Linked DNA regions of Callithrix jacchus. The protein of the gene in region 1 purifies or fractionates together with the protein of each later gene. This does not show direct contact. Links are inferred from orthologs where the notes say so. Each region holds a gene or a part of one and is shown on either strand. Other genes may lie near its edges. The genes, in order: DNAJB1, BAG5 and PYCR3.

Evidence for each region.
Region 2: the proteins of DNAJB1 (region 1) and BAG5 purify together in Homo sapiens (affinity purification with mass spectrometry; 3 studies listed by BioGRID and IntAct, with this or other methods). This does not show direct contact. The link is inferred for Callithrix jacchus from reciprocal best matches to the Homo sapiens genes DNAJB1 and BAG5.
Region 3: the proteins of DNAJB1 (region 1) and PYCR3 purify together in Homo sapiens (affinity purification with mass spectrometry; 3 studies listed by BioGRID and IntAct, with this or other methods). This does not show direct contact. The link is inferred for Callithrix jacchus from reciprocal best matches to the Homo sapiens genes DNAJB1 and PYCR3.

The regions. Positions count from the first base shown.
Region 1 is NC_133523.1:13,291,413-13,301,372, reverse strand, and holds DNAJB1 (dnaJ homolog subfamily B member 1), read left to right. Parts: upstream 1-3,425; 5' UTR 3,426-3,473; coding exon 3,474-3,684; intron 3,685-3,963; exon of another isoform or gene 3,964-4,273; intron 4,274-4,766; coding exon 4,767-5,347; intron 5,348-5,622; coding exon 5,623-5,853; 3' UTR 5,854-7,022; downstream 7,023-9,960. UniProt on the Homo sapiens protein: Interacts with HSP70 and can stimulate its ATPase activity. Stimulates the association between HSC70 and HIP. Negatively regulates heat shock-induced HSF1 transcriptional activity during the attenuation and recovery phase period of the heat shock response.
Region 2 is NC_133509.1:138,387,126-138,396,994, forward strand, and holds the start of BAG5 (BAG family molecular chaperone regulator 5), read right to left. Parts: upstream 6,087-9,869; 5' UTR 5,633-6,086; coding exon 5,535-5,632; exon of another isoform or gene 5,340-5,534; intron 4,620-5,339; coding exon 3,248-4,619; 3' UTR 1-3,247. Other genes in the region: COA8 (cytochrome c oxidase assembly factor 8), read left to right, coding at 6,423-6,545. UniProt on the Homo sapiens protein: Co-chaperone for HSP/HSP70 proteins. It functions as a nucleotide-exchange factor promoting the release of ADP from HSP70, thereby activating HSP70-mediated protein refolding.
Region 3 is NC_133517.1:53,986,618-53,996,256, reverse strand, and holds PYCR3 (pyrroline-5-carboxylate reductase 3), read right to left. Parts: upstream 6,876-9,639; 5' UTR 6,865-6,875; coding exon 6,774-6,864; intron 5,481-6,773; coding exon 5,416-5,480; intron 4,822-5,415; coding exon 4,642-4,821; intron 4,370-4,641; coding exon 4,157-4,369; intron 3,846-4,156; coding exon 3,753-3,845; intron 3,575-3,752; coding exon 3,392-3,574; 3' UTR 1,772-3,391; downstream 1-1,771.

The DNA.
Region 1 (9,960 bases):
GATCACCTGAGGTCAGGAGTTCAAGACCAGCCTGGCCCATCTCTACTAAAACTACAAAAAATTAGCTGGATATGGTGGTGCTTGCCTGTAATCCCAGCTACTCAGGAGGCTGAGGCTGGAGAATCGCTTGAACCCAGGAGGCGGAGGTTGCAATGAGCTGAGATTGTGCCATTGCACTCCAACCTGGGCAACAAGAGTGAAACTCCATCTTAAAAAAAAAAAAAGATAGCCCAGCCTCATAGAGCTGTTGTGACAATTATATGAGTTAATATTCATTGAGCACTTGGAACCGGTTTGGTCATGTCAGTGTTAGATGTTGTTACATGCCTGTAATCCCAAAACTTGGGGAGGCCAAAGCTGGCAGATCACTTGAGCTCAGGTGTTTGGGACCGGCCTGGACAACAATGGCAAAACCCCATCTCTACCAAAAAATATAATACAAAAAATTAGCCGAGCATAGTGGTGGGCACCTGTGATCTCAACTACTCAGGAGGCTGGGGCGTGAGGATCATTTGAACCCAGGAGGTGGAGGTTGCAGTGAGCCAAGATTGTGCCACTGTATTCCAGCCTGGGTGACAGTGTGAGACCCTATCTCAAGAAAAAAAAAGGTGGAGGACTGGTTCAGTGGCTTACTCCTATAATTCCAGCACTTTGGGAGGCGGAGGCAGGTGGCTCACCTGAGATCAGGAGTTTGAGACCAGCCTGGCCAACATGGTGAAATCCCATCTCTACTAAAAATACAAAAATTAGCCGGGCGCCAGGCACGGTGGCTCAAGCCTGTAATCCCAGCACTTTGGGAAGTCGAGGCAGGTGGATCACCAGGTCAAGAGTTTGAGACCAGCCCAGCCAACATGGTGAAACCCCGTCTCTACTAAAAATACAAAAATTAGCCAGGTGTGGTGGCACGTGCCTGTAATCCCAGCTACCTGGGAGGCTGAGGCAGGAGAAGCGCTCGAACCCGGGAGGCAGAGGTTGCAGTGAGCCAAGATCATGGCACTGCACTCCAACCTGGGTAGCAGAGCAACACTCCTTCTCGGGGGAAAATAGGAAAATATATATACATGTTGTTCTCTCTCCCCATGATTGGTTCAGGACCCCTGCTCAAGTACAGTTATCAATGTCTAGGGAATTTCAGCACCCATCCTTCCTGGTTGTCCAGTTCTAGTCCAGAGTTCTTTCTGATGTGGTTACCTCGCAGGTCTTTGTGTGGGCAGAGAGAACCAGCTCCGCCTGATGGGCAGCAGGGCAGGCTGTGGCCATGGTCTTTTTCCTCAGGAATCCCTGTCTGCCCAGGCACAGCTGTCACTGGAAGCTTTCAGCTGTGATGCTTCAGGAAGAGGGTGATGGCTGAAGAGCACACCACTAAGCAAAATGGTTTGTCACCCCTTTGGCAATGCTTCCTTTGTGCCATGTCTGTCCTGAGCACTTTGCAAATGTTAACTCATGTAAACTTCAAAGCCCTTTTGATGTGGGTGTGACTGCTATCCTCTTTGTACAGATGAGGAGGCTGAGGCCAGCAATGGCTAAGTAACTAACCCCAGGTCACTCAGCCAGGAAATGCTGGAGCCGGGAATGAAGCCCGGCTGTCTGGTTCCAGAGCCAGTGTTACATGGCCCTGACCCTCCCGGACAGTTCTTCCAGGAATCTCCCCCACATCCTTGGGCCCTTCCCCAGTAGAACCCCTTTCTGAGCCTCCTCTTCCCATCAGCCCTGTTCTTGACCAAGGCACCCCAGACTTTCAGAACCAAATGGGATCACGTTGCCCACAACTGAGGAAACAGAGGACTTGAAAGGTGTATGACACACCTATGTCCCCCAAATCATAAAGGTAGTGGGAAGAGAAAGAGATTCACTTAAGAACGGGGAATATTTATGAGGCTCTGTATTCCAGGCCTTGGTGATCCAGTGCAGACAGAACGTGGCCTCTGCCCAGGTGGCAATCTCAGACTGGGAGGGAGGATGCATGCCAAGGAACAAGATGATTTCAAATTTAGCAGCAAGTCCTCTTGAGAAGGCAGTAAAGTGAAGGGGGTGGAACTGGGAGGACCTTGGGAGGTGAGCTTTCGTCCAGATCCTCACCTTGCTTTAGGAGGTGAGACCAGAAGCCATCTCCGTCGCAACGGCCTTCTCCCCACATCTGGGAGAATAGTGCTGGTGGGTTCTTTGTTCATTTTATTTTCTCATTATGTTGGTTTTTTGTTTTGAGAGGGAGTCTTGCTCTGTCACCAGGCTGGAGTGCAGTGGCCCGATCTTGGCTCACTGCAACCTTAGCCGCCCCGGTTCAAGCAATTCTCCTGCCTCACCCTCCCAAGTAGCTGAGACGACAGGTGCATGCCACCAGGCCTGGCTAATTTTTTTGTGTTTTTAGTAGAGACGGGGTTTCACCATTTGGCCAGGATGGTCTCAATCTCTTGACCTTGTGATCTGCCTGCCTCAACTTCCCAAAGTGCTGGGATTACAGAAAGTGCCGGCCTTTTTTTTTTTTTGAGATGGAGTTTTGCTCTGTTGCCCAGGCTAGAGTGCAATGGCTGATCTCAGCTCACTGCAACCTCTGCCTCCCGTGTTTAAACTATTCTCAGGCCTCAGCCTCCCAAGTACCTGGGATTACAGGTGTGTACCACCGCACCTGACAAATTTGTTATTTTTAGGAGAGACAGGGTATCACCATGTTGGCCAGGCTGGTTTCGAACTCCTAACCTCAGGCGATCCACCCAAAGTGCTGGGATTCCAGGCGTGAGCCACAGCGCGCTGCCTTTTGGTCATTTTAAACAGCTTCCTTATGTTGCCTAGGCTGGTCTCCAACTCCTAGCCTCAAGCGATCCTCCCGTCTTGGCCTCAGAAAGTGATGGGACTACAGACGTGAGGCCCGGCGCCCAGCCTGGTGCGTTCTTTTATTTCCATATTACAAATAAAACGGGGCTCCTGGGTTAGGCAGACACAGGCAGTTCGTGCAGCGTCACCCGGAGGGAGCCCACAGCGGGCCCAACGAGACAAGTGTGGGCAAGTTCATCATCTCCTGGGGAAAGGTCGGGGTAGCCCCAGGCCCCACCCCTTCCCTAAACGGCACCTTCGTCGTGCCTCCCGACCCACTGACTCAGGCGGAGGGCGGGGCGCAGAGTCGCTGGGGCCGCGTAGAGAGTGAAAGAAGGCCACCACTGGCTCGTCCCGGAAGTTGGGCGGGGCCTCCTCCGACCTGGGTGCGCGCCGCGGGGAGGCGTTGCCGACGGCGGAGCAGGAGGGGGTGTGGCTCCGCGCGGGCGGCCGTTGACGCCGAGGCCCCGCTCCGGATGTCGCGCGTCGCGGACTGGGCGGCGGCGATTGGCCGGCCCGGCTGGGGGGGGCGGGGCGGAAGGTTCTGGAGGGGGCTGGCGGGCTCTGGAAGCTTCCGCCGGACGGGTATATAGAGTCCGGGACCGGGCGGCGGTGGAGCCGGGGTACGGCGGTTGTGGGGCGGCGGGCCGCAGGCGGGGGCCATGGGCAAAGACTACTACCAGACGCTGGGCCTGTCCCGCGGCGCGTCGGACGAGGAGATCAAGCGGGCCTACCGTCGCCAGGCGCTGCGCTACCACCCGGACAAGAACAAGGAGCCCGGCGCCGAGGAGAAGTTCAAGGAGATCGCCGAGGCCTACGACGTGCTAAGCGACCCGCGCAAGCGCGAGATCTTTGACCGCTACGGGGAGGAAGGTGCGTGGGCGCGGCCCCGCCGTTTGACAGGCGGGGAAACCGAGGCACGCCGGCCGCTCTGGGTGCCTCCCCCCTCCGGGGAGGACGCCCCGGGCCCGGGGGCTAAGCTGCTCCGCCCTCGGGCCAAGCGGGCCTCCGCCCTCGGATTGGTGGCCGCGGGGTGGGAGGAGGAGCCTTGGCCCAGCCGCTCGCCCAGAATCTTCTAGCAAGTCTGGGGCTGCCCCTCCCTGGGCGCGTCCTCCCGAGGCCCGGAGCAGCCCCGGGGTGCGGTGCAGGGGCAGTGGGGCCGTGTGGGAGCCGGAGGGCGGACGACGGGGACGGCGCGGCGGAGCGCACTGCGGGCCGGGGCTTACCTAGGTTCGGCCGCCGGGGTCTGCAGGGCGGCGTCTCAGGTTCAGCTGCGGGCGCCGGGCTGCGAATGCGGGCGCCGACCCTCGCGGGCTTGCGGGCGGGGATGGGATAATACCTGGAAAGCGATGACCTGGCCCCGGCCGGGCACGCAGGAGGCAGCGGCGCCCACTGCGGCCGCCCAGGTGCAGAGAGCGGGGCTTTTTGTCCATGTGCTGGTTGATGACTCAGGCTGGATTCTGGGCTTAATTGGAGGAATGAACTGACTTTCTATGCAAGCATGGTGGCAGTGAATGCTAGTGTGTGAGGGTTCAAAAACTCCCCATCTATTTTTTTTCCTTATTTTTACTCTTCTCATCAGTGGTCCTAAAATGTTGAGAGTAAACACTTACCGAAAGCCCACCCTGGACCGTGTCTTAAGCCATCCTTGGTGACATAGCCAGGGGGATGAGTCAGTCCAGGGATGGTAGGGCATGGGTGGCACCTGGAGGTGGATACCTAACTGCATGAGTCCTTTGCCACTGTCACACTACACGGAAGTACTGGGGTGGGGGGCGTCTCTGCTGCTGCAGTGAGAGGTAGAAACCTGGGGTTCTTCCTCGCTCTCCCCTGACAGGCTAAAAAAAGTTCCTCCCCCATGGCTTCCAAGCTTCCTCCCCCCAGCCCCCAAAAGGGAAGCTCCTTGAGAGAGGCTGCTGTTCAGCCATCTGACTGCTTCCAATTCTGCTTTTTAGGGCTAAAGGGCAGCGGCCCCAGTGGCGGTAGCGGTGGTGGTGCCAATGGTACCTCTTTCAGCTACACATTCCATGGAGATCCTCATGCCATGTTTGCTGAATTCTTCGGTGGCAGAAATCCCTTTGACACCTTTTTTGGGCAGCGGAACGGGGAGGAAGGCATGGACATTGACGACCCATTCTCTGGCTTCCATATGGGCATGGGTGGCTTCACCAACATGAACTTTGGCCGCTCCCGCCCTGCCCAAGAGCCCGCCCGAAAGAAGCAAGATCCTCCAGTCACCCACGACCTTCGGGTCTCCCTTGAAGAGATCTACAGCGGCTGCACCAAGAAGATGAAAATCTCCCACAAGCGGCTAAACCCCGATGGAAAGAGCATTCGAAATGAAGACAAAATCTTGACCATCGAAGTGAAGAAGGGGTGGAAAGAAGGGACCAAAATCACATTCCCCAAGGAAGGAGACCAGACCTCCAACAACATTCCAGCTGATATTGTCTTTGTTTTAAAGGACAAGCCACACAATATCTTTAAGAGAGATGGCTCTGATGTCATTTATCCTGCCAGGATCAGCCTCCGGGAGGTAAGGTGCCAGGTGGGGCAGTGGCTGTAGATGGCTGCTCTTTGAAGCAGATAACTATTTGCTGAGCAAATGTGTTGGGGCATGTGGTACATGCCAGGTTAGGGGCACAAAGTGAACAGGACTGCTGGAGCTTTCATGGTGGTGACGTGTAGATCTGGGAACCAGGTCTTGGCTGCACAGGCCTGATGGGTCTTACTCTTTGCCAGATGGCCTCTGGGCAAGAGCTGAGCCTCTTGAGCCAGCTTCCATCTAATGCTGTCCCTTTGCTTTCCAAGGCTTTGTGTGGCTGCACAGTGAACGTCCCTACTCTGGACGGCAGGACCATACCCGTGGTGTTCAAAGATGTCATCAGGCCTGGCATGCGTCGAAAAGTTCCTGGAGAAGGCCTCCCCCTCCCCAAAACGCCCGAGAAACGTGGGGACCTCATTATTGAGTTTGAAGTGATCTTCCCCGAAAGGATTCCCCAGACATCAAGATCTGCACTTGAGAAGGTTCTTCCGATATAGCTACCTGAGCTCTCCAGACTGACTAGGGACCTTTCCAGAGCTCAAGGATTTCTGGACCTTTCTACCTATTGTGGACCATGAGAGGGCGGAGGGCCCAGGGAGGGTTTTCATACTGCTGAATGTTTTCCAGAGCATATATTACAATCTTTCAGAGTCATACACTAGACTTAAGTGGTTTTTTGAGCAATAGGACATCAGGTGGTGGGAACAGCAGGAAAAGGCATTCCAGTCTGCCCCACTGGGTCCGGCAGCCCTCCCAGGAGGGGCCCACATCCTCCTCCTCCAGTCCCTGTCCAGGGGTGAGAGGCAGACAGACCAGCAGCTGGACTTGATGCTTGTGTCCCTTTGCTTCTGGCTGGTAGATGGTGTCAAGCTGCCGCCAGACCCTGTACACTCCTCCGTCTCTGTTGTGTGATCAGTTTGTGATTTATTCTGTATTTGTCTCCCATGTCTTAATCTTCCCCTGAAGAATCCTGTCTTCTCTTTGGCCATCTCAAATTGAGAACCTCTAAACTATTCCTGCAGAACTGCCTGGCTGGCGCCCACAAGCAATACCTCTTGTTCCAGCAGGACCAAGGGAGCCAGTCTCCAGCAAGTGACTCCAGTAAGTGCAGCACCTCTCGCTGGAGGGTGTGGAAGCCCGGCCCCAGCAAGGGACCCTCCGGACCTCTGGCTCTAGGGAAGCTGAATGTGCTCACTGTGGGTCACACTTTCCATTTCTGTCAGGCAATCTTGTCACACCTGGGCCGTACCAGTGGCCTAGGTAATTTTTTGTTTCATGGACTCTGGACTCTTTCAAAGGGATCTGATCCTTTTGAGTTTTGCACAGCCCTAGATATAATCCCTTTTGATAAAAGGGTCTTTGCTTCTGATTACAGGAGCACTGTGGAACGTCTGTAAATATGTTTTTATAATTAATTCCGTGTATAGTTGGTGTACACTCAAATAAAACCAGTCCCCAGCAGCCGCTGCTCTCTGTACAGGGCCATAATGGAATTCTGAAGAAATCTTGGGGAAGGAGGGGGAGTTGGAACAAATGTCTGTTCCCTCGACACCAGTTGGGTGCTCAGACCTTTAGACTCATTGTAAGTTGCCACTGCCAACATGAGACCAAAGTGTGTGACTTGTTGATGCAGTGCGACAGCATTAAAGACTGATGCTAAACCTCAGGAGAGAAGTCCTGTGACTCTGTTTGAGGGTTCTGCTGGTTTGGGGGGGTGGAGTGAGGACCTGGGCATCCCTCCAGGTGCAGTCAAGATGGGAGGGTGGGATGGGCTGGAGGCAAGTACCCTGCAAGAGAAAGATAAGTCTCCCTTCCTGGGCCTGAAGTGGGTTGGAGAACTTCCACCCAGACTCTGGGTACAAACAACCAGAGACCCAAGCACACTGGCCTTGGGGATCATTTTTTGATGAAGGTTGGGGGAGGCAGGGTGTAGTTCCTAATACTCCTCCTTTTCTTCAGGGCCCCTGGCTTTTCCAACAGACCGCTGCCCTGGGGCCAAGGGGGCAACCCAGGGTCTGGCCTCTTAATTCCGTATCACTCCTTTCCTGCTAGAACTGCTTGCACGTCCTGAACTTGGCCAAACCGGAACTCCAGGGCCTGCCCAGGACTCGCCCCACCCTAGAGAAGCCCCATTTCCTGCCTTGGCTTTATTTGTAGGCCACTGAAGCTGCTTTTACTTTGTAACTTTTTTTAAAGAGCTGGTTTTATTATAAGGTAAGTAATTACTCAGGCTTAAAACAATGTATCACTGCTTTGCTGCAACATGTTCCCAAGTGGAAACATTGTATAAAGACCAGGAGCAAGGCTCAGGGCTGTCACCACAGGGCTTTGGAAGACCAAGGTGGGCAGATCACTTGAGCTCAGGAGTTTGAGACCAGCCTGGGCAGCACTGAGAAACCTCATGTCTACAAAAAATAAAAATTCAGCCGGGGGTGGCAGCGTACACCTATAGACCCAGCTATTTATGTGACTGAGGCAGGAGGATCACTTGAGCCCAAGAAGTAGATGACCCAGTGAGCTGTGTTTGTGCCATTGCCCTCTAGCCTGGGTGACAAAGTGAAACCCTGTCTCAAGAAAAAAAAAAAAAAACTATAAAAGTCAAACTGGACCAGGCATAGTGGCTCATGGGTGTAATCCCAGCACTCTGGGAGCCAAGGTAGGAAGATCACCTGAGGTCAGGAGCTTGAGACCAGCCTGGTCAACATGATGAAAACCCCATCTCTACTAAAAATAACAAATTAGCCAGGCATGGTGGTACACGCCTGTAATCCCAGCTACTCAGGAGGCTGATGCGTGAGAATCCCTTCAACCTGGGAGGTGGAGGTTGCAGTGAGCAAACGTGCTGCCACTGCACTCCAGCCTGGGGGACAGAGCGTTGTCTCAAAAAAAAAAAGTCAGGCTAAGAGTTGCTTTCCCTTCCCACTGAAACAGTTTAAGCACTGAAAACGGTCTAGGGGCAGCTCTGTCAGGCCAGGAGGACTTTGTGTAATGACTGGAAAGTTATATATACCGTTAATTAAAACATCTTACAAATTCAATAAACTTAGACTCTGTTCCTCAGTGGCTCCTGCCATGCTTCAGTTGCTTAGCAGCCCACAGATGTATATAGCCAGTGGCAATTGCTAGACAGGTCACGTCTCCAGGCTTTTCCCCAAAGGTAATACAGTGTCACTTTGAAGAGCAGCCACATTAAGCCAGGAGATGCCACCCCCATCAGGAGGTGACCCCTGGAATAACAGAGCTAAGAGATGTTTACCAAAGTATCCCAGGCACCAAGGTGACTGCAGAACTGACCTGACTGACCTCATTGGTGTCACAAATCCCCAGGGTTGCCATCCCCACCCCCAAGTCTCCACTATACACCAGCTCCCTGTGAACGTCATACAAAAGTGTCACAGACACGAAAGTGCACAATGCCTTAGGGTATGTACAGTTCTGGGAACTTACAAAAACACTACCAAGGAACCTACCCAGGGTGAGGAGTGGGGCACATAGTGAGGGGAAGATCTTAGTGGGAAGAGGACCCACACGTTTTTGCTTCTGGGTTTTTGTTTTCTTTTGTTTTCTTAAAGCCCACTGCTTGGCTTGTCTATCTTGGCCAGACATCTGGTGCACCCACATGCAAACTTTTCCCAAATTCTTGGGCTTTGTTTTTTTTTTAGTTGTTTTTTTTTTTTTTTTTTTTGAGACAGAGTCTCGCTCCGTCACCCAAGCTGCAGTGCAGTGGTGGGATCTCTGCTCACTGCAACCTCCATCTCCCAGGTTCAATCGATTTTAGGAGTAGTTGAGATTCCCTAGGGAAGGTCAGGCTTCCCTAGTAGCTGGGATTACAGGCATGTACCATCATGTCCAGCTAACTTTTGTATTTTTACTGGAGATGGGGTTTAATCATGTTGGCCCAGGATGACCTCAAACTCCTGACCTCAAGTGATCTGCCCACCTCAGCCTCCCAAAGTGCTGGGATTATAGGCATGAGCCACTGCACCTGGCCTTTTTTTTCTTTTTTTTAAAAAAAGCATTTTTGTGCTTCTTCCAAGAGAGTGAGTCTGTGCTTACGTAAGCATAAACGCAATTTCTAAATGTTCAGTTTTATTTTTTGACTGTGTAATCACAATACAAAACTGGAAAGGGTGCAGAGTGAAAGTCCTCCCTCCCACCCTGCCATCCAATTTCACACCCACAAACCAGGAACCAGTGTTCCCAGCCTCTCCTGTGCCTTTCCTGAGATGCTACAGGAAATACATTTTCCTTTTCCTTTTTTTTTTTTTTTTGAGAAGTGGTTTTGCTCTTCTTGCCCAGGCTGGAGTGCAATGGCGCTATCTCAGTTCTCTGTAACCTCTACCTCCCAGGTTCAAGCAATTCTCCTGCCTCAGCCTCCTGAGTAGCTAGGATTACAGGTGTGCACCACCACCCCCAGCTAATTTTGTATTTTTAGTAGAGACAGCTTCACCATGTTGGTCAGGCTGGTCTCATACTCCCAACCTCAAGTGATCCACCCACCTCGGCCTCCCAAAGTGCTGGGATTACAAGTGTGAGCCTCCACACCTGGCCACATTTTTCATTTCTTACACTAGGAGTATATACTGTATACTCTGCTTATCTTT
Region 2 (9,869 bases), on another chromosome or scaffold:
CAAAAAAACCCCCAAAACTTACATGTATAAGCTAAGATCAGACCCTTAAAAATCAGATAGAAATTGACAAAAACAGCTGGGCACGGTGGCTCAAGCCTGTAATCCCAGCACTTTGGGAGGCCGAGGCGGGTGGATCACGAGGTCAACAGATCGAGACCATCCTGGTCAATGTGGTGAAACCCCGTCTCTACTAAAAATACAAAAAAAAAAAAAAAAATTAGCTGGGCATGGTGGCGGGTGCCTATAATCCCAGCTACTCAGGAGGCTGAGGCAGGAGAATTGCCTGAACCCGGGAGACGCAGGTTGCGGTGAGCCGAGATCGCGCCATTGCACTCCAGCCTGGGTAACGAGCAAAACTCCGTCTCAAAAAAAAAAAAGAAAAAGAAATTGACAAAAACAAATAATAAAAACTAACCTTCTCAAACTGAAGTATATCAAATATATACATTTTAGCAACATGAAGCACTAAACTATACTTTGTAGACATACTACGGTGATTTTAGTAACTGTTTCGCTGCAGGCTGACTGGCTCTCCTCTGTGTGGATAAAGCAAGGCTGACAGAACGTAAAGAAGGCAAGCGTTCCCAGCCACGTTTTGCATGATCACGGATTATAGTGTTTAATGCAGACCCAAGGCCGCACATTTTTGGGGAGTAGGTTTTACTTGCAGTACAGATTCTTTTCATGTAAGATCACAAAAATGGAATACAATGTGACGAGCCCAGCTGAAGAATTACATGCAGTAGCCCGTATTAGCACAAACAGCTCCCCATGAGGGCGGTGAAGCGCTGCGTCAGTGTCACCAGGGTTCACTGCGGGAGAATAAGCCGGTACAAGGGACTAGCACAGATTGAAAGCAGAAGCAAAGCCATGCCTCACAGTCACTCCAGGTCAATCTGATCATTTCCATGACCAAAATAACCCGTGAACAATTCAAAATGACCGTGGAAGAGCTGACGCCCTGTACTCACACACCATGCCCAGAGCTTGGCAAAAGGGACACAAACGCTTTTGTTTGAAAAGAATGATGGTGACATCTACCTTCAAAGAACGACGGGCACTTTTAAAGGGAATGCTGACATTTAACTTCACAAAATGGAATTTAAAATGTAAGTGGTACGCTGGTGAAGGACGTGTCTCACGTGTAACCACGATTTCCTGGTGGTATAATTAAACAAAGCTCTAATTTTAAAACTCTTCCTTAAGATTTTAAGAGAATTCTAAAATTATGATACAGAAAAGCAATGTTAAAACTACTCTGGCCAAAATGTGGATTCCAGTGACCTGCCTTGAGCCCAGGGTTGCCAGGTGTTGGGCCTACAGGACTGTGGGAGGCTCACTGCCCTCTCGCCCCACCATCCAGTGGTTCTAGGATATTTCTAGTAGGAAAGACCTATCAAGGGATTTTAATGAATGGGCAGTACTGAGAGACAGAGTGAAGATTTGTTAAGGGCTACGCTTAAAGACTACTCCTTTTGAGATGGAGTCACTCTGTCACCCAGGCTGGAGTGCAATAGCTTGATATTGGTTCACCTCCACCTGCCGGGTTCAAGCGATTCTCCTGCCTCAGCGTCCCCAGCAGCTGGGGGCTACAGGTATGCACCACCACCCCTAGCTAATTTTTGTATTTTTAGTAGAGATGGGTTTCACCATATTGGCGAGGCTGGTCTTGAACTCCTGACCTTGTGATCCACCCGCCTCAGCCTCCCAAAGTGCTGGGATTACAGGTACGAGCCACCTCCACCGACCAAGGCTACTCCCTTAGCTATCATACTTTCAGCTGTTTAAAGTGGTAATTTCCCTACACAAAGTTACAAAATGAGCATCTCTGAAAGTGAGTGATAATACCGTGGAGTTCCAAAGAGGTGCTGTAATAAGATGACTAGGCGAAAGGTGACCCTGGTGAAAGAATCTGTGGTAACACTGGGACCAACAGGTTCAAGGCACTTCAGAACTTTGGGGAATTATTTTGCGTTGGATCCTCAGAAAGGATTTATGGAAATGCACATCCTTTAGCAGAAAAGAGACGCTTCATGCACGACTGACTTTCATGGCTCTTTCAGGCAACAGAGAAACCACCACATGCCCCTAACATGAGCTCAGCTGTTTGGCAGGCACCCAGAGCAAGCCTTTAATTCCCAGCAGGTTTCTCTAACTGGTCCTGGAGCAGGTGATCTTTACGATGTTTACTACGGGAGTGGTTAAAAGCTGACTGCCTAGGAAAACAGGAAGGCGTGGTCCTTCTGGGTTACTGACAGCACTGGGGAGGCGTGACAGGGCTGTCCATCTTACAGCCTTGGACGACAACACAAGAGAGCCATGACATGCTACATTCAGGCCTTTTCGGCTTGGTTTTAATATAACCTGACATTGGTGACCAATCTCGTTTCCATCCTCCAACTACAGGTACGGGTGCTTCCTTTTTCTTTTTTTTAAAAGCTCCATTAACTTCACTTAAATGTTCCCGTCCTTATGAATTACTAAGAAAAACAATAAGCTCTGATATTAAAAAAAAATTTACAGGGTATTTATAGCTGGTCCTTTATCCCTTCTATTTAATGCAATCTCAGAGGTTTTTTGGCTATTAGTTTTCATAATTTTCATGTTGCACACAAAAACAAGATTATTCCCCTCTCTAAAATGTAGAGTATGGGGAAAATACAGATGCTGTTTTTCCAAGTAAAAATGTTTTCAAAAGCATGGACTGTCTGAACGAACCAAAAAAAACCCCACCCCATTAAGCTGAGTAGGACCAATCAGGCCTTAAAACCGAAAAAAAATTTCTGTCGAGCACAGTGAAACAGAACATGTACTGCTTGTGTTTGAACCTCACTCCTATTTAACCCAAAATTTCCCCCTTCTCACAATTCTCCTAGTATTATGTAAGGTTATGCCTATTTCTAGACTGTGAAATACCTGCATTTAATGCTCGCACAACCCATTTAAAATTCACAAAAGCCGCCTCTATTTCATTTTCTGATTAAACACACACACACACGGACAAACCAAACAAACCACACCACGGCATACAGACAGCGGTCTCAATGGAAAAGTGAACGTGTCGTAATGATATTTGTCTTGCAACATCAAAAGCAGCAGATGCCGAACAGAAGTTGCTTGAATCATAAATACTGAGACTGAAATATGCAGGTATAAATCACATTTGGGCGCAATGCACTAGAAGCTCTCTATACATAGAAGTATATATGAAGTGCAAAACAGTATCAGAGGTGAGAAGTCTGGTATTTTAGTACTCCCATTCATCGGATTTCAGGTCGAGATGGCTGAGAATATTCTGGGCAAGCTTCACAGCCTGTTTCCGGGCAGCCTTACACTTCTCCTCTCCCTGCGGGTCGACAGCATCCAGGGCCAGCAGCTGCTTGGTGAGCAGCTCTTCCAGCCGGATGTAGTTCTTATCGGTTCGATTCCCATCAAACGAAAGCACTTCTCCCTGGATCTCGGACAAGTTTCCAAGGACGTTCCAGACGGCTTTATGGGATGGGTGCTCCTCACAAGCAATCAGCTTTCTTTTCTCAAGGGCCTCCTTCAAGTCAATGTACGTGATCAGAGTTTGCACTTCTATCACTGCTCTTCTCCTGGCCTCTCGGATGCAGGGGTTCTTTTCAAGACTTACCTCATCCAACTGTCCAATCAAACCCTGCAATTCTGTTTTGGAGCTCAGATACAACTCAGGGGGGTTCTGCGCTTGGAGGAGTTCATTTTTTATTTCTCTCATTCTCTTGAGGACCTTTTCTATTTTTAAAATGGAATGATTCTGCCTCAGGTCAAATGCTCTAGTAGTGTCTGCTTCCTCTTCTAAATCCAGGTATTTCAATAATTTGTTAATATCTTCCACTACCTCCCTCCGGTAATTTCTGATTTCTGTCCGGCCGCACACATCCAGAGCATCCAGGTCGGCCATCAGCCCGGACAGCACACAGGATAAGTGCCTGCAGGTCTCGCTGCTGTTCACACCCATCAGAAGCGCAATCAGGACCCCTCGGGCCTTGTTCACCTCACACATCACAGAGTTGATTTTGGCAACAGAAGGGTGTGCATCCTCAGACAGCGGCAGGGAAGGCTGCTTTTTCATGCAGTCTTCGATAATCTCTTGCACTGCACAGATTTTGGTTAAAGTGTGATACCTTGCTTTCCGCAAGGAGATCTTTCCTCCAGTTTTAACATGTGTCAGCCTCAGAATGATGTCCTGGATGCCTTCTTCGAACTCATCAGTTATGCAGTTGCCGCCATTATAAAATGGCACAATTTTCTCTCTCACAAGGGACTGGGCTTCCTCAAAAATGCTCTGTATTTCAATCCTGTGTGGGTGGTTTGCATTCTGCTCCAGCTCTTTGAGAAGACGTTCCGTCTCCTGTGCCGCCCTCTTCCTGGCTTGCTGAATATCTCCTTTTCCTTCAGTATCTACAGAGTCTATTTCAAAAAGTTGTTTTGTGAGAATCCGCTCCAGTTTCTTGTAATTCTTGTCATCGGACAGACCACTGAAGCCGACGACTTGCTGTTCTACACTTTTTACTTCCTTTTGGATTTCCTGAAGCCTGCTAATAGAAGGATGTTGGTTTCCCATATCCATACTTTTGTGGTGGTCAGTTTCACAAGCACTAAAAGATGACAAGAATAACTTATTACAGCACAAAGCTTCTGCAGAACATGAATGATATATTAAGACACTAAAATTCTCATTTAAACAGGTATACTGTCATCCCACTTCAGCCTCCCCAGCGGCTGGGGTTACAGTCGCACATCACCACGCCCAGCTAACGTTACCACTTTTAGGAAAGGCACGTCTCACTATATTGCCCAGGCTGTCTGAGACAATCCGCCCGCCTCCGCCTCCCAGAGTGCTGGGATTACAGGTGTGAGTCACTGCACCCGGCACAAACTCTGTTTTTGGAACCAGCAAGGCACCTTTGTGCAACGTGAAGCAGTAGCTCTTGTAACCTGCCAAACATTAACAGCACCCCGCCCCCGCCAAACAGCTATGCCTTAGTTTCCAGAAACTCTAAGCCAAAGACACTGAACCACTAGAACCAAAACCAGGGGCTCTCAGCCATCCCCAAGGTTCCCGCTTCGTGGTTTCTCTCCTCGCCTCTGTGCTCCTCCCTGCCCCACCCTTTTAGCTCCTCACATATCTGCCCTCACAGGTGTCTCCCTGAAGAGCTAAAAACCCCACAGGTCAAGAAGAGCGACGGGGACTGCGCTGAAGGCGCCATCTTGGGCCTTGGAAGCCCAGAACCTCCTCAGCCCCTACCATGCTCCATTCTCTCAAAAAAAACACGACCCGCGAACACGTGGTAATTATGAATAATTCATTCACTCGCTTCCCACTGAGAGTCCACAGTGGCTCAGTACCTGTTTCAAGCTATTGGTTTCTACCAAACGGCGTGCTCGAGGTGGGCAACCGACGGAAAAGCCTCCACCCCCTGTGGGTGTCCTGACGGCCACGGAGGGCAGGCCGCCGGCGCTCCTTCCTCCCCGCCTCGCCCTTCCCTCTTGGCCCTTTACCCAGAAGAGACCTGAGCTGGCTGCAGTCTTGGCGTCCCGTGGTTGAGGTGGGAGGTGGAAGACCAGCCCTTCTCGGGGTGCTGCACCGGAGCTGGGCCCCCAGCTGCATCCCTCGCGCCCCTCCCGACTAGGTCCGAGCCGGGCAGCGGTGAAGGCGCCGCCACTTTACTGCTGCAGCAGCTGCCCCGGGCGTCTCGGCCCGGGTGCCAGGGCGCGCCCGCCGGCCCTGACCTCACAATGGGCGCGCGAGGGGCGCTCGGCCCGGCCGGGTAGAGCCTGGCAAGGAGGGCAGCCGAGGCCCCGCCGGAGACACCAGAGACCAGACCTGGCCTGCCCCGACCCGCGTCAGACCCAGGGGCGGGGACGACACCGGGTCCCGCCCGGTCCTGCCTGTGCCAACAGGCCACGCGGGGGTGGGCGCCGGGACAGGGGTGGCCGGGTGGGGAGCCCCGCGCCGATGTGAGGCTACACTCGTCCCCGCGACGGAGGGAAAAGGCCACACGCCGCACTTTGCTTACCTGTCCCGCCCGCGCCATCGCGCGACGCGCCGCCGACGCCTCCGCGACTTCCGCAGCCCCGGCCGTCGCTCGGGCCCGCCAGCCCCGCCCCGGGCCGAACAACCCCAAACCCGGGGACACCTCCGGCGTCCGCTCCTAGCCGCCGACAGCACCACGCCCACCGCCAGCGCGCAGCGAGGCAGCCTGGAGTGGCCGCGACCAAGGAGCGGCCGGTCGGGTTAGCCTGCTTCGCCTGTCGACCCCGCAGCCGTCGCACCGCAGGGAAAGTGCACGATCGGCCGCGTCGCCGCGCTCCCTCGGGCTTCGCGACCCTGCCGTAAAACGGTCCCTCGCGTCGTCGCAATGCTGCCGTGCGCCGCGGGAGCCAGGCGCCGTGGGGCCATGGTGGCCTTGCGGGCGGGAAAGAAGCGCCTTCTCCTTCCTCTCTGCCGCGCCTTCGCCCGCCGCGGTTGTCAGCTCGCTCCCGAGCACGGCGCCGAGCGCAGGGATGCGGCTCCCAGCGGGGTAAGCTGGCGCCTGGGGACGTTGGGCCCGGAGGGGCGGCCCCAAGGCTCTCGCGTCCACGCCCTCAGTCCGATGGGACCAAGGGTGCCGCCGCCCCGTCGGGGACTGTTGACAGCCAGAAGCTTTAAGCATAACAGAGTCACCTGCCAAGTTTGTGCCTACCTTATTTATTCCTGAGAATTAATTTTTTAATTTGAGACAGGGTTTTGCTTTTGTTGCCCAGGCTAGAGTGCAGTGTCGCGATCTTGGCTCACTGTAGTCTCCGCCTCCCGGGTTCAAGCGATTCTCCTGCTTCAGCCTCCCGCGTAGCTGGCGTTACCGGCACCCACAGGCACCCACAACCACGTCTGGCTAACTTTTGTATTTCTAGTAGAGACGGGGTTTCACCATGTTGGCCAGGCTGGTCTCGAACTCCTGACCTCTGGTGGTCTGCCCGCCTCGGCCTCCCAAAGTGCTGGGATTACAGGCGTGAGCCACCGTGCCCGGCCGGATAGTTGTTCTTATTTGCACACTGTGTGTGGGTATATGCATGTTACCGGCCAAAGATTCGCAAAGAATGTCTGTAGCAAGAAAGAGTGACAAGCAATTTTCTTTTTTTTTTTTTTTTTTTGAGATGGAGTCTTGCTCTGTCGCCCAGGCTGCAATGCAGTGGTACCATCTCGGCTCACTGCAACCTCCACCTCCAGGGTTCAAGCGATTCTCCTGCTTCAGGCTTCCGTGTAGCTGGGAATACAGGCACCCACCATCTCACTCAGCTAATTTTTGTATTTTTAGTAGAGACGGGGTTTTACCATCTTGGCCAGGATGGTCTCGATCTCTTGACCTCGTGATCTGCCCACCTTGGCTTCCCAAAGTACTGGAATACAGGCTTGAGCCACCGCGCCCGCCCAGCGACAAGCAATTTTTTAAGTTCTACTTCGTATAAAGGATGGGAGGCCTTTATAAGAAGGCCTTTTAGCTTCTTGGGAGGGGTGTTTTGTTTAAGGGAGGCCTAGGCCTTGATTCCATCTGTCAGATGAAAATGTTGACTAACTGTGGAAGCTGCTGGAGATAAAATATTCAAGCTAAGCCTGGAAATACTAAGCAGGCTAACGAGGGACGCTGGAAAGCTTGGTTTGCGGGTGGATCACGAGGTCAAGAGATCGAGACCATCCTGGTCAACATGGTGAAAACCCATCTCGACTAAAAACACAAAAAATTAGCTGGGCATGGTGGCGCGTGCCTGTAATCCCAGCTACTCAGGAGGCTGAGGCAGGAGAATTGCCTGAACCCAGGAGGCGGAGGTTGTGGTGAGCTGAGAACTCCAGCCTGGGTAACAAGAGTGAAACTCCGTCTCAAAACAAAAAAAAAAAAACAATAATTAAAGAAGTAGGCGGGCACGCTGGCTTAGGCCTGTAATCCCAGCACTTTGGGAGGCCGAGGTGGGTGGATCACAAGGTCAGGAGTTCGAGACTAGCCTGGCCAACATGGTAAAACCCTGTCTCTACTAAAAATAGAAAAATTAGCTGAGTGTGGTGGCAGACACCTGTAGTCCCAGCTACTTGGAAGGCTGAAGCAGGAGAATCACTTGAACCCAGGAGGCAGAGGTTGTAGTGAGCCGAGGTGGCGCCACTGCACTTCAACCTGAGTGACAGAGTGAGACTCTGCATCAAAAAAGTGGCCGGGCTCCATGGCTTACGCCTGTAATCCCAGCACTTTGGGAGGCCGAGGCGGGCAGATCACGAGGTTAGGAGATCGAGGTGGTGAAACCCCCTCTCTACTAAAATCCAAAAAAATTAGCCGGGTGTGGTGGCATAGGCCTCTAATCCCAGCTACTTGGGAGACTGAGGCAGGAGAATCGCTTGAACTCAGGAGGTGGAGGTTGCAGCAGTGAGCTGAGATTGAGCCACTGCACTCCACCCTGATAACAGCGAGACTTCATCTTCAAAAAAAAAAAAGCTAATTAAAAATTGCAAATGTGCCTGCCTATACATTTTCATTTCTGTTGGGCTGTGGCTATTAGCACACTTTTCTAATTGTAGCTTTGAAGGTCTGTCTAGTTTACAGTTTAAACAAGGAGTTACCAGAGCAACTTGTCAAACAGACACCCAAGTGGCTAGCTCCTTTCTGTGTTACACTGGCCAAGCCCTTGCCTTCTATTTCTAGAGCATAGAAACCCATTCAGCATCTCTGTCTTTGGGCAGAAAGACACAACAGGTATCTGAAAATGTTCTTAAGAGAGCAAACTGGAAATCAACCAAGACTTTTCCCCAGTGGGAGGATTTTCCCTCGCTTATTTTGTGAACTTGTGCTGGAAAGAAATAAGGATTTCTTCATTGTCATATAGACTCTTTTTTTTTTTTTTTGAGATGGCGTCTCCCTCTGTAGCCCAGGCTGGAGTACAGTGGTGCAATCTCGGCTCAGTGCAACCTCTGCCTCCTGGGCTGAAGCGATTCTTGTGCCTCAGCCTTCCAAGCAGTTTGGATTATAGGTGCCCACCACCATGCCCAGCTAATTTTTTGTAATTTTAGTAGAGACAACTCCTGACCTCAAGTTATCCACCCGCCTTGGCTTCCCAAAGTGCTAGGTTAAAAGCATGTGCCACTGCTCCCAGCATTTCTTCCTGTTAAAGTAAAATAAATCTTACCATGGGTCTGTTTTCAAGATGAGAGACCTCTCTGGCCTAAATGCGTTTGTTTGTTTGAGACAGAGTTTTTGCTCTGTTGCCCAGGCTGGAGTGCAATGGCACAATCTTGGCTCACTGCAACCTCCACCTCCTGCGTTCAAGCAATTTCCCTGCCTCAGCCTCCCTAGTAGCCGGGGTTACAGGTGCACACCCCCATGCCCAGCTAATTTTTTTTTTTTTTTTTTTGAGACGGAGTTTCACTCTTGTTACCCAGGCTGGAGTGCAATGGCGCGATCTCGGCTCACTGCAACCTCCGCCTCCTGGGTTCAGGCAATTCTCCTCCCTCAGCCTCCTGAGTAGCTGGGATTACAGGCACGCACCACCATGCCCAGCTAATTTTTGTATTTTTAGTAGAGACGGGGTTTCACCATGTTGACCAGGATGGTTTCGATCTCTTGACCTCGCGATCCACCTGCCTTGGCCTCCCAAAGTGCTGGGATTACAGGCTTGAGCCACCGCGCCCAGCCCTAATTTTTTTTTTTTTTAAGTAGAGATGGGATTTCACCATGTTGGCCAAGCTGGTCTCGAACTCCTGACTTCAGATGATCCACCTGCCTCAGCCTCCCAAAATGTTGGGATTATAAGTGTGAGCCACTGAGCCCTGCCAGCACCAGCTTTTAATTGAAAAATATTATAGAACTTTAGAGTCAGGCACCATT
Region 3 (9,639 bases), on another chromosome or scaffold:
TCCCTAGCATTGGGTGCACTGGCACATGGTGCTGTGTGGCAGAGGCTCGGGCTGCTCTGCCCATGCCTGGCCCCGAGGGCAGCCCCAGCCATGGATCCCTGAGGCCCTGGGCTGGAACCTGGGGCCCTGTCCCAGCCATGCTTCCAGCTCACTAACCCTCTCTGGGTTCTGCTCAGTGGCTGAAGTGATGTAAAGACCCCAGGATTGGTGGCTGTATTGGACCCTGGGGGTGGGGGAACCCTTTGGGAGGCTCTTTGCCAAGGTTGTGCTGGTGCCCTTGCCTTCGAGGCCCGGGCTATGGTGACAGGCTCAGGCTGGGGTGAGGCTGCATCTGCTTCTTTCAACCGCATCCGGAGCCTGGCCTCTTGCTCTGGCAGATTCTGCACATTCCCTGCTGGCACAGGGGTGGGTGGGGGCTATGAGCCAGCTGTCCTCAGCTCAGATGGCCCCCAGACCCCCTAGCTCCCGTTCACTGCTCCTTCAGTTCGTGATCTTGTGTCATTGTCACTGTCAGAGCTCCTGGGCCGGATGGGGCTGGAGAATGGAAGGCGCTGAGGCAAAGATGAGTGCGGGTCCTGTTGAAACCACCTGACCCACAATGTCGGGGGATGAGACCACTGCCTTGACCTTGGGGGACTCCCTGGACATCCACTGAGCTGTGGATGAAACATCAGAATGTAGTGGAAAAGGAGAGCACCCCTAGACTGGGGTTGGTCCCGCAGGGATATCAGCCCCTTGCCTACCTAGTCAAGATGCCCATGGAGAGCGATCCCAACAGCACATGGGGGTCCCTGGGCTTCTGGGGCCCACGATCTGTGGAGGGCTCTTCTAACCGGCAAGCTTATTTACAGCTGAGCTTGCCCACTCGGATAGGCCCAGTGGCTTTATCCAATAAAGGCCGGACATGCCCACTCTGTGAGCATCCCTGTTGTGAAGTCTTATTTTTGTAGCTCTTGATCCAATGCTTGGATCAGGAATACCTCTAGATGAATAGTTGGGGCACAGGACATAAAAGGGGAACACTGATTAAAGAGGACTCTGTAATCCAAAGTCAGAAGGTTGAGACCATCCTGGCCAATGTGGTGAAACCCTGTCTCTACTAAAACACAAAAAACTTCCATGAGGCGGCAAGCGCCCAGAATCTCGGCTACTCGGGAGGCTGAGGCAGGGGAATCACTTAAACCCAGGAGGCAGGGGTTGCAGTGAGCCGAGGTATCACACCACTGCACTGCAGCCCGGGTGACAGAACAAGACTCAAGTCTTTAAAAAGATACCGTGATCACATCCACTATTTTCTATCTTGAAGAACATTTTTGCCTGGCAATAGAAGGTACAGGGGAGGCCTGGGTAACCCACTCCCTGCCGTGCCCCAAGAAGCTAAGGGTGTGTGTGTCACAGGCCCTCACCAGCTGGGCCACGAGTCTAGCTTGGGTCCTCCACCTCCAGAGCTGAGCTTGCCTAGTGCCCAGGGCTTGTCAGAGGTCCCCAGGGGGAGACAGGCCTTGGCTCAAAGCCAATGATTCTCCTTGCAGATGGGCTCAGTGTACATGCATGTGGTCCTCAGAAGAGCTGTCCATGTTCCTTCAGGGGGCAGCCTGTGCCAGACCCCAGCCTCCCAGACCTGCCCACAAGCCTAATTTTTGTATTTTTTTTTTTGTTCTTTTTTTTTTTAAAGCTGGGGTTTTACCATGTTGGCCAGGCTGGTCTGAAACTCATGACCTCAGGTGATCCACCCACCTTATCCTCCCAAAGTGCTAGGATTACAGGCATGAGCCACCACACCAGCCATTTTTGTATTTCTAGTAGAGACAGGGTTTCACTGTGCTGGCCAGGCTGGTCTTGAACTCCGGACCTTGTGATCTGCCCCCATTGGCCTTCCAAAGTGTTGGCATTATGTGCATGAGCCACCACGTATGGCCAGGAACCTGGTTTCATCCACCTCTGGTGAAACATGAGCTCACTTGGTGCCCTCTGGCATCTTTATTCCCATCTCCTTAGGCTGACCCTCACAAGTGCCAGGGCCAGGCTTAGACCAGTCAACTGAGTCAGCCTGCCCTGGAAAACCGGTGGGGGTGGGAGCTTGGGGGTTGGCTAGGCTGAGGGGAGTGAGAGAGAGCAGGCGGAGGGCATAAGTCCGTGGCCAGAGGCAGCTGAGCGTGAGAGATGGAGCATGCTGCTGTCGTGCAGGTACCCTTAGCCCTATTTTGCACTAGGAGATGGATCTGCCCAGGCACACAGGGAGATGGCATGGTGGAACCTGCTGCCCAGCCTCACTGAGGGCGTGCTCCCAGCCTCGCCTCCAGAGCTTGCTGGGTGGAAGCGGACAGCTGCTGCACTCATGGGCCAGTGTGGAAGTAGAGGCCAGGGTGAATCTTGTGGGGCAGGGGACGAAGCTGAGGCCGTCTGGCCCAGGCCCGCCTGACCCAAAGGCCCCAGAACCCCAGCCTTCGATCCTGAGGCTTTGCTTTGCCCCCAAGTCCTGGCTTTCCTGACCTGCTGTCCGTTAGGGACATGTGGAGGGGCTAAGTCCTGCTGTCAGAGGCCTGTGTGGTGGTGCCAGAGCCACAGGGCATCCCAGGACCCCTGACCCACATGAGGGTTGGGAGGCCCCAGAGCCACCTGGCCACTTGCCAGGAGCTTAGGGTCAGGAGGAAAGAGTGAGCCTGTATCCCAGCTGAAGCCGGGGTCTGTGTTTGTCCTGACTGGCCAGGGCTACCCTCCCAGACCTTAAGCTGCCCCATCTAACACTGCCTGCCTGGCGCTGCCCAGCACTGCTGCAGACTTAGCCCAGCAGCTCCTTCTCCTTAGCAGGGGAGAGCACACAGCCACCCAGCTGCCCATGGAGTCCCCACGCACAGCAGGCCAGGGCCCCTGACTTTACTGCGGGGGAGAGGGTCTTTTATGCACACCCCGTATGGCTTGTGCCCCCTAGAGCTGAGATGAGACAGCTGGCCTAGCTGTAGCTGCACGGAGCCACCTGGAAAGCCAAAGGCAGGCCCGGCTCCAGACCAGGCATTGGGCCAGCCATGCCCGTTATCATAAGTTCTGATCATGGCCTTGACCTACAGCCTAACCATGCGGGCACCTGACCAAGACGCCATCTCTTGGGCCCCTCAGAACCAATGTTATAGCAAGGCAGGCTCACTGCAGCAAGGAGCAGGGCTACTACCACAGTGCCTTCTGCCCATGGGAGAGGGAGAAGTGTCCCCACTGGTGGGGTCTCCCCAACCTACTGGAACCTCTCAAGTCCTGCCCCGTGCATTTCCCTGTGCAGGGGGAGAAGGAGCGGTTGGAGACCCTCCCGCAGGAGGGAGAGAGTCGCAGTCCTCAGAGGAAGGGGCACAGGGAGAGATGGGGGCACAAAGGCAGGCAAGGATGGCCAGAGCCCAGCCTACTTCCTGCTGAGCTCCTTGGCCCGGCAGGTGGCAGCCTCCACAGCGCTCATGGTGGCCGCTCGCAGCCCGCCCTGCTCCAGGGCGTGGAGCCCGTAGATGGTGGTGCCGCCCGGGGTACACACATCAGAGCGCAGCTGGGCTGGGTGCTGGCCCTCGTGCAGCAGCATCTTGGCTGTCCCCTAAGGAAAGCATGAGGGCCTGGTGACCAGGGGAGGTGGCACGGCACCCACTGTGCAGCCTGCCCTCACTGCATCCCTCAACCTCAGCCCCAGCTTCTCGAGCCTACTATTTCCCTGCCCACTGAAAGTGGTACAGCCTGGGCCTTCTCAATGGTCCCCGGGAGCCACCCTCACTCACCAGCAGGGTCTGAGCAGCGATGCGGTGGGCCAGGCCACTGGGCATACCCATCTTGACGGCACCCTCAGCCAGGGCTTCGGAGAATGTGCACACCTGTAGTAGCGGCATGGTGGCGGGGGAATAGGTCTCAAAGCTGGGGGGCTCAGAACTTTCAGGAACAAGGCCCAGAGCACTCACTGTCCATGGATGGCCAGAACCAAGGCCTGAGCCCAGGAGTCTGCAAAGGGGCTGGCCCCAAAGATCCCCAAGGCAGTGAAGTTCTGGGGACAGCAGAGCCCCCAGTGGGCCTGGGACCAACCACGCAGGCCCCAAGGTTGGACTCTGAGGGCAGAGGCCATTAGAGGGACTTGGGCAGGCCTCTCTTTACTAAGGGTAGGGCAGGGGACGGACAAGGCAATACTCACAAAGGCCACGCCACTGCCACTGAGGCCAGTGTGGATGTCGATGTAGGCTTCGGGTACCTCCTCACACCGCCCACAGGCCTCCAGCAGATGCTGCAGGAGCTCGGTCTCGCTGCTGCCTACGTGGCGGCCCCGTGTCATCACGATGGCCCCTTCCTGGACCATGCAGGGCAGGTTGGGCAAGACCCGCAGCACCCGTGTGTGTGGGGGCAGCAGCTGGCCAGAAAGAGGTTAGAATCAGGGAGCCTGTGGGACTGGGCCCTGCTGGGCAGGCATCAGCAGGGGCATCAGGAAAGGTCCCCATCAGCTAGCTGCAGGCTCCCGCGGCTGCCTCCCAGGTACAGCACCAGGAGGGAAGCTTAACCTCAGCCATCGCACCCAGCTAGGCCACCTGGCCACCTCTCAGGCTCTCTGGAAGGCTGCCTGCCACCCAAGCTGGCCAGCAGAGCCTAAGCTGGGACCAAGGCCTTAGCCCAAGGGATACTCACCTCCTCCAGGGTGCTCAGAGAGACCCCAGCAGCCACGGACACTAAGATGTGTTCAGCGGTGACCACAGGAGCCACCTCTGCCAGAACAGCTGGCAGGATGTGGGGCTTGGTTGCAAAGATGACGAGCAGGCAGCTCTGCAGCACTTCCTGGTTGGAGTGGGTAGTCCGGCAGCCCAGAGCCTGAGCCAGGGACACCAGGACCAGGCCTCAGGGGCTGTGTGAGCAGCACACCCTCCTCACCACAGCCCTTCCTGCTGGTGGCCACACATTCCCAGGGTCCCAGGGCCTCTCCCATTGCAAGTGTCTAGACCACCCCCATGTCACCAGTGCCCGAGATTCACCCAGACTAGACCTCCTCCTCACAGGCAGTTCTGATGTCAGCACCTCCCCAAGCCCTGAGCCCTCCATCCCATGAATATCCGTGGCCACCATCCCAGCATGCACACACACACGTGCACACGCACGCACTCATGAGCACGCACTCACATACACACATGCACACACAATCACACTCACATGCACATACGAACTCACACGTACACACATACATGCATTCACGAGCACTCACAATGCACTCATGTGCACACACGTACTCACATGTGCACACACGTGGTACACGCACACACACACTTTGCTATGGCTCTCCACAACCTCCCTTTCCCCAGTCCAGACCAGCCAGTCTCCAAACTTCAGCTAAATAAGCCACCCATCCCTGGCTCTGGTAAGTGTCTTAGTTGGACGGGAGCTAAGAGTTATCCTGCGCTCTGTGCTCACTTGGAAGTGACATAGGTTCCTGTCTGTCGGTGCACTGGCCAGTATGTGCTGAGCTTCCACTTTTCCTGGAAAGGAAAAGGAAGAGGGGTTGAAGGGGTAGGGTAGGATGGCAGTGAGGAGAGGGAGGAACTCGCCTGGCCTCTCAGGCTCAGCCACACCTGGCCCATCATGGGCCCCCTTCTGGCCTCAGGAACCCAAACCAGGGATGCGCCATTCACTGGGCCCAGGCACTCAGATCCACTGACTCTACTTGGCAGTCAACGTCCCTGACTGCTGCTGGGTATGGAGGCCAGGAGCTTGCCTCGTTGGTGAGGACACAGATCCCTGGGGCCTCTGCCTCCAGGGAAGGGAAGGCTGCCTGAGGAGAAGAGGCAGTACTTCTAACACCAGGCTTTGGAGGAGTGTGGAGGGTACAAAAGCAGCTGATTTATGGCCACAGAAGGCCCAATGGGGGCCCAGGTTCCTCGGGAGGGAGAGTCTGTTGGGATGTCCACGAAGAGGCTAAATGCCTACTTGGTAGAAACATGCTTTTGTGGAGTACAGGGGTGGGGAGATAGGGTTAGATTTTGGTAAAGTCGAACAGGAAGACAGAAGTGTATACCACAACCTGAACGCAGCTACTAACCATGACAGTGGCAGCCATACACAGCAGTATTAGGCTCAACACTACACATATACATCTAATTACCCTGTACAGCTCTGGGAGGCATGTAATACTGCCGGGTTTCACAGGTAAAACTAAGACCTCATAGGAAGCTATTTTCCGATTCATCATGACTCCTCTGAACCCTGAAATATGGCTGAAGGCAGAGAGCCAAGAGTCACCCAGCTCTCCCCCAGTCTGCAGAAGGGCTTCTAAATGCCTGGAGAAGTATATGATCAGCGCAAACATCCCGGCTATAGAGCCGTGGTTCCGCCAGAGATGATTTTGTCTGTCTCCTCCTCCCACCCAGGGTGCATTCGGCCGTGTCTGGAGGCACTTTTGGCTGTCACAACGTACGGGTGCTACTGGCAAAGGACGAATGGTGTCACTAGAGCCAAGGTGTCTGCGGAGAAGCCCTGCTGTTCCCCAGAGAGGGGCTGGTGCACAGAGAAAACCAAAGGCTGGGAGACATGAACCTGGCTAAGGCCACGCGGCCAGGAAGCCGGCCACGGAAGTGGCACCAAGCCACGTGTAACTCAAATCTTCCCACAGCCACGTGAAAAAATTACGAGCAAACAGGCGTGTCCCCGGCTGAGCCCAGCGCAGCGGAGGCCCGGGTGCCTGGGCGCGCGCCCTCCGCCCCAATCTCTCGGAAGGAAGCCTCCCACGGGGCTGTCCCACGCCAGGCCGCGAGCCGAGCTCCGCGCCGCCCCACCTGCTCTAATGAGGCCCTGCGCGATGGCCCCCGCCATGCGACCGGCGCCCACGAAGCCCACGCGCCGCGGAGCCTGCCCTGTAGCCGCCATCTTGTCGCACTGGCCGCCGCCGCGCTGGCCGCCCATCCACAGGCCGCGCCCCACCCACAGACCTCGGCCCTACCAATGGGACACGCCTCCCCGCCCCCCCCGCCGATTGGCTGCCGGGACCTCACGCTCCGGGCCCGCCCGGCTTTTTGTCCGCTCTCTACTGGTCCGCAAGGCGCGGAGGCTCTGCCTCTCGCTGCTTATTGGCCCGAAAAGGCTATCCCCCCTCCCCTCACTGCCCATTGGCTGAGAGGAACCGAGGGTTGGCGGGGCGGGCGGGGCAGTAGCGCTCGAGCTGCCGGGGTTGCCTGGACCGGTCCCAGGCGCACGTGCGACGAACAGATCTTCGTTTTTCGGAGGGGAGGGGTTGCGAAGCGGATTACGGGGCTGGTCGGGAGCCTGCGGTCCCTGAGGCTCCACCGACCACAGACGGGGGGCCGCGAGGCGGCACTAGGGGCGGAGGCCCAGGTCACAGAATGCTGGCCGGGGCCAGGGGAGGGGCCGACGGGGAGGGGAGGGGGACAGTGGGGGAGCGGAGATGCTCGTCATTGTTTTTGTTTTTTGAGACGGAGTCTCGCTCTATCCCCAGGCTGGAGTGCAGTGGTGCGATCTCAGCTCACTGCACTTATCTCCCAGATTCAAGCGATTTCCCTGCCTCAGCCTCTGGAGTAACTTGGGATTACAGGCGCGGGCCACCACGCCCGGCTATTTTTTGTATTTTAGTAGAGATGGGCTTTCACCTTGTTGGGCAGGCCGGTCTTGAACTCCTGACCTTGTGATCCGCCCGCCTCAGCCTTCCAAAGTGCTGGGATTACAGGCGTGAGCCACCGCTCCCGGCCGTCATTTTAATGATACAAGAAAAATTAGGTTTGAAGATCTGAGTCTGGTTTTGTTTTCGTCGTCCAATCTAAGGCTTCATGTTACAGACGTTTTGTTGTTTTAGTCTGAAGACTTTGGCATTTCCTGAACTCTTCAGTAGTTAAATCCTCTCACTGATTCAACATTTACTGTGCAGTTGCAGCCTCTGGGCCCTGCCCTAGGCCTGGGCAAGACCACCACACAGCAGCAGATGGGACAAGCCAGATCACAGCCTACCGCCCTGTTTGTTGGCAATGGAGACAGAGCAGTCGGCACATGCAGGGGATGGCCAGGGTGTCAAGGCTCTGAAACAAATGACGTGGAGCGGGACAGAAAGCCACCAGGAGGCTGCTTCGGCCACCACAGCCAGGAAATCTGGTGGTGCAAAGCATCCGCTTTGCACTAGCTCTCAGTGCCAGCAGCTGTCTCTCCTGCCACCCAGGATCCTGCCAGCCCCTTCCAAAACAGACCCCCTGGATTTTCTCCCAGGCCAGTGATGGCTTGGGACCAAGTCTGTGGAGGTGAGAGGGGCCAGAGACATCCAGCACCATGCCATCATATATAAGGACAAAGCTCATCATAAACACGTGGACTGAGGCCAGGTGAAGAGGGTTGCTGGCTCAGTGCCCAGGGCCTAGGGGCATTCAGCTTCTCCATCCCATGCCGGGCCGGGCTTCTGAGCATCGGCTGGGAGCCCTCCGCTGACCTGGACATCTAGCCAGCCATGGCTTGTGTCCAGGGCACCTCTCTGCTTTTGGTGGGGCTTCTTCCCACTGCTCCTCACCTGGCAGATCCAGGCGGGCACACAGGTGCCACCCTCTCCAGGAGGCCTTTCCTGAACCCCTGTGTGGGCAGAGCCTTCGTCCACAAAGGACTGTTGCCAGGGGACATATTGTGAAGGAGGCCAACCCACCTCCTGGAGCTCCAGGTCCTGGGGTATTGGCATGAGGGGTGGAGGTCGAGGCAGGGCTCCCAGAAGTTTTCAGACAACACAATCCCAGTAGGGCAGATGGATGCTCAGAGAGGGGCTGAGAAAGTGCCATCAGGAAAGATGTTTTGAAGGCTGGACCATCCCAGCTGAGGCCTAAAGGTTGGGAGGCCTTGGCCCAAGAGGGGGCCAGGCTCAGGGAGGCCTGGAGGACACCTTGGCTTGCCAGACACAAAGGGACAGTGACATATGAGGTGAGTGGTCGACTGGGCACCAGACACAGGTCTGGACTTGGTGCTGGGACAGGGAAGACACACCACTGCTGCCTGAATGAACAAAGGAAGAAATGAAGCAACAGACTCAGCCTGTAGTCAGAAGGCATTGTGTGCTTGAAGACTCAGCCTGTAGTCAGAAGGCATTGTGTGCATGAAGACTCAGCCTGTAGTCAGAAGGCATTGTGTGCATGAAGACTCAGCCTGTAGTCAGAAGGCATTGTGTGCATGAAGACGGCACAGGGCACCCAGGAGAGAGAGATCCTGAGAAGGGGTGGCCCAGGAACCAGGGAAGGTGTCTGGGTCCTGGGTGTAGTGGACCAGAGGGCTCTGGCCTAGGGGCTCCCGCTGTGTGAGGCACTGAGAAAGAGGGTGGCAGGCAAGCCGGGGCCTAGACCCCAGCGCCACCCTGCCTGACTGAGGCACTTGCCCGGGAACCATTCTGGACTTTGATGTCTCTGAGAATGACCGCGAGCAATGATGCCCACCTCTGGTGGCTGGAGCTGACCTGTCCAGCAGGTACCTGTCCCTCTCTATGGGACAAGGGCAGGTGAGGACCCACACCCAAGCCTGAGAGCCACAGAGATGAGAAGCCAGGCCATGGGAGGCCGGAGCCGCCCAGTCATCAGCTTCCCCTCAGATCCATGCATGGGCCCCACTCAGCTGGCCCACTAGATCAGTTCCCCCAGAGCTCTCAGGCTGAGGAGGGAGGCCTGGGTG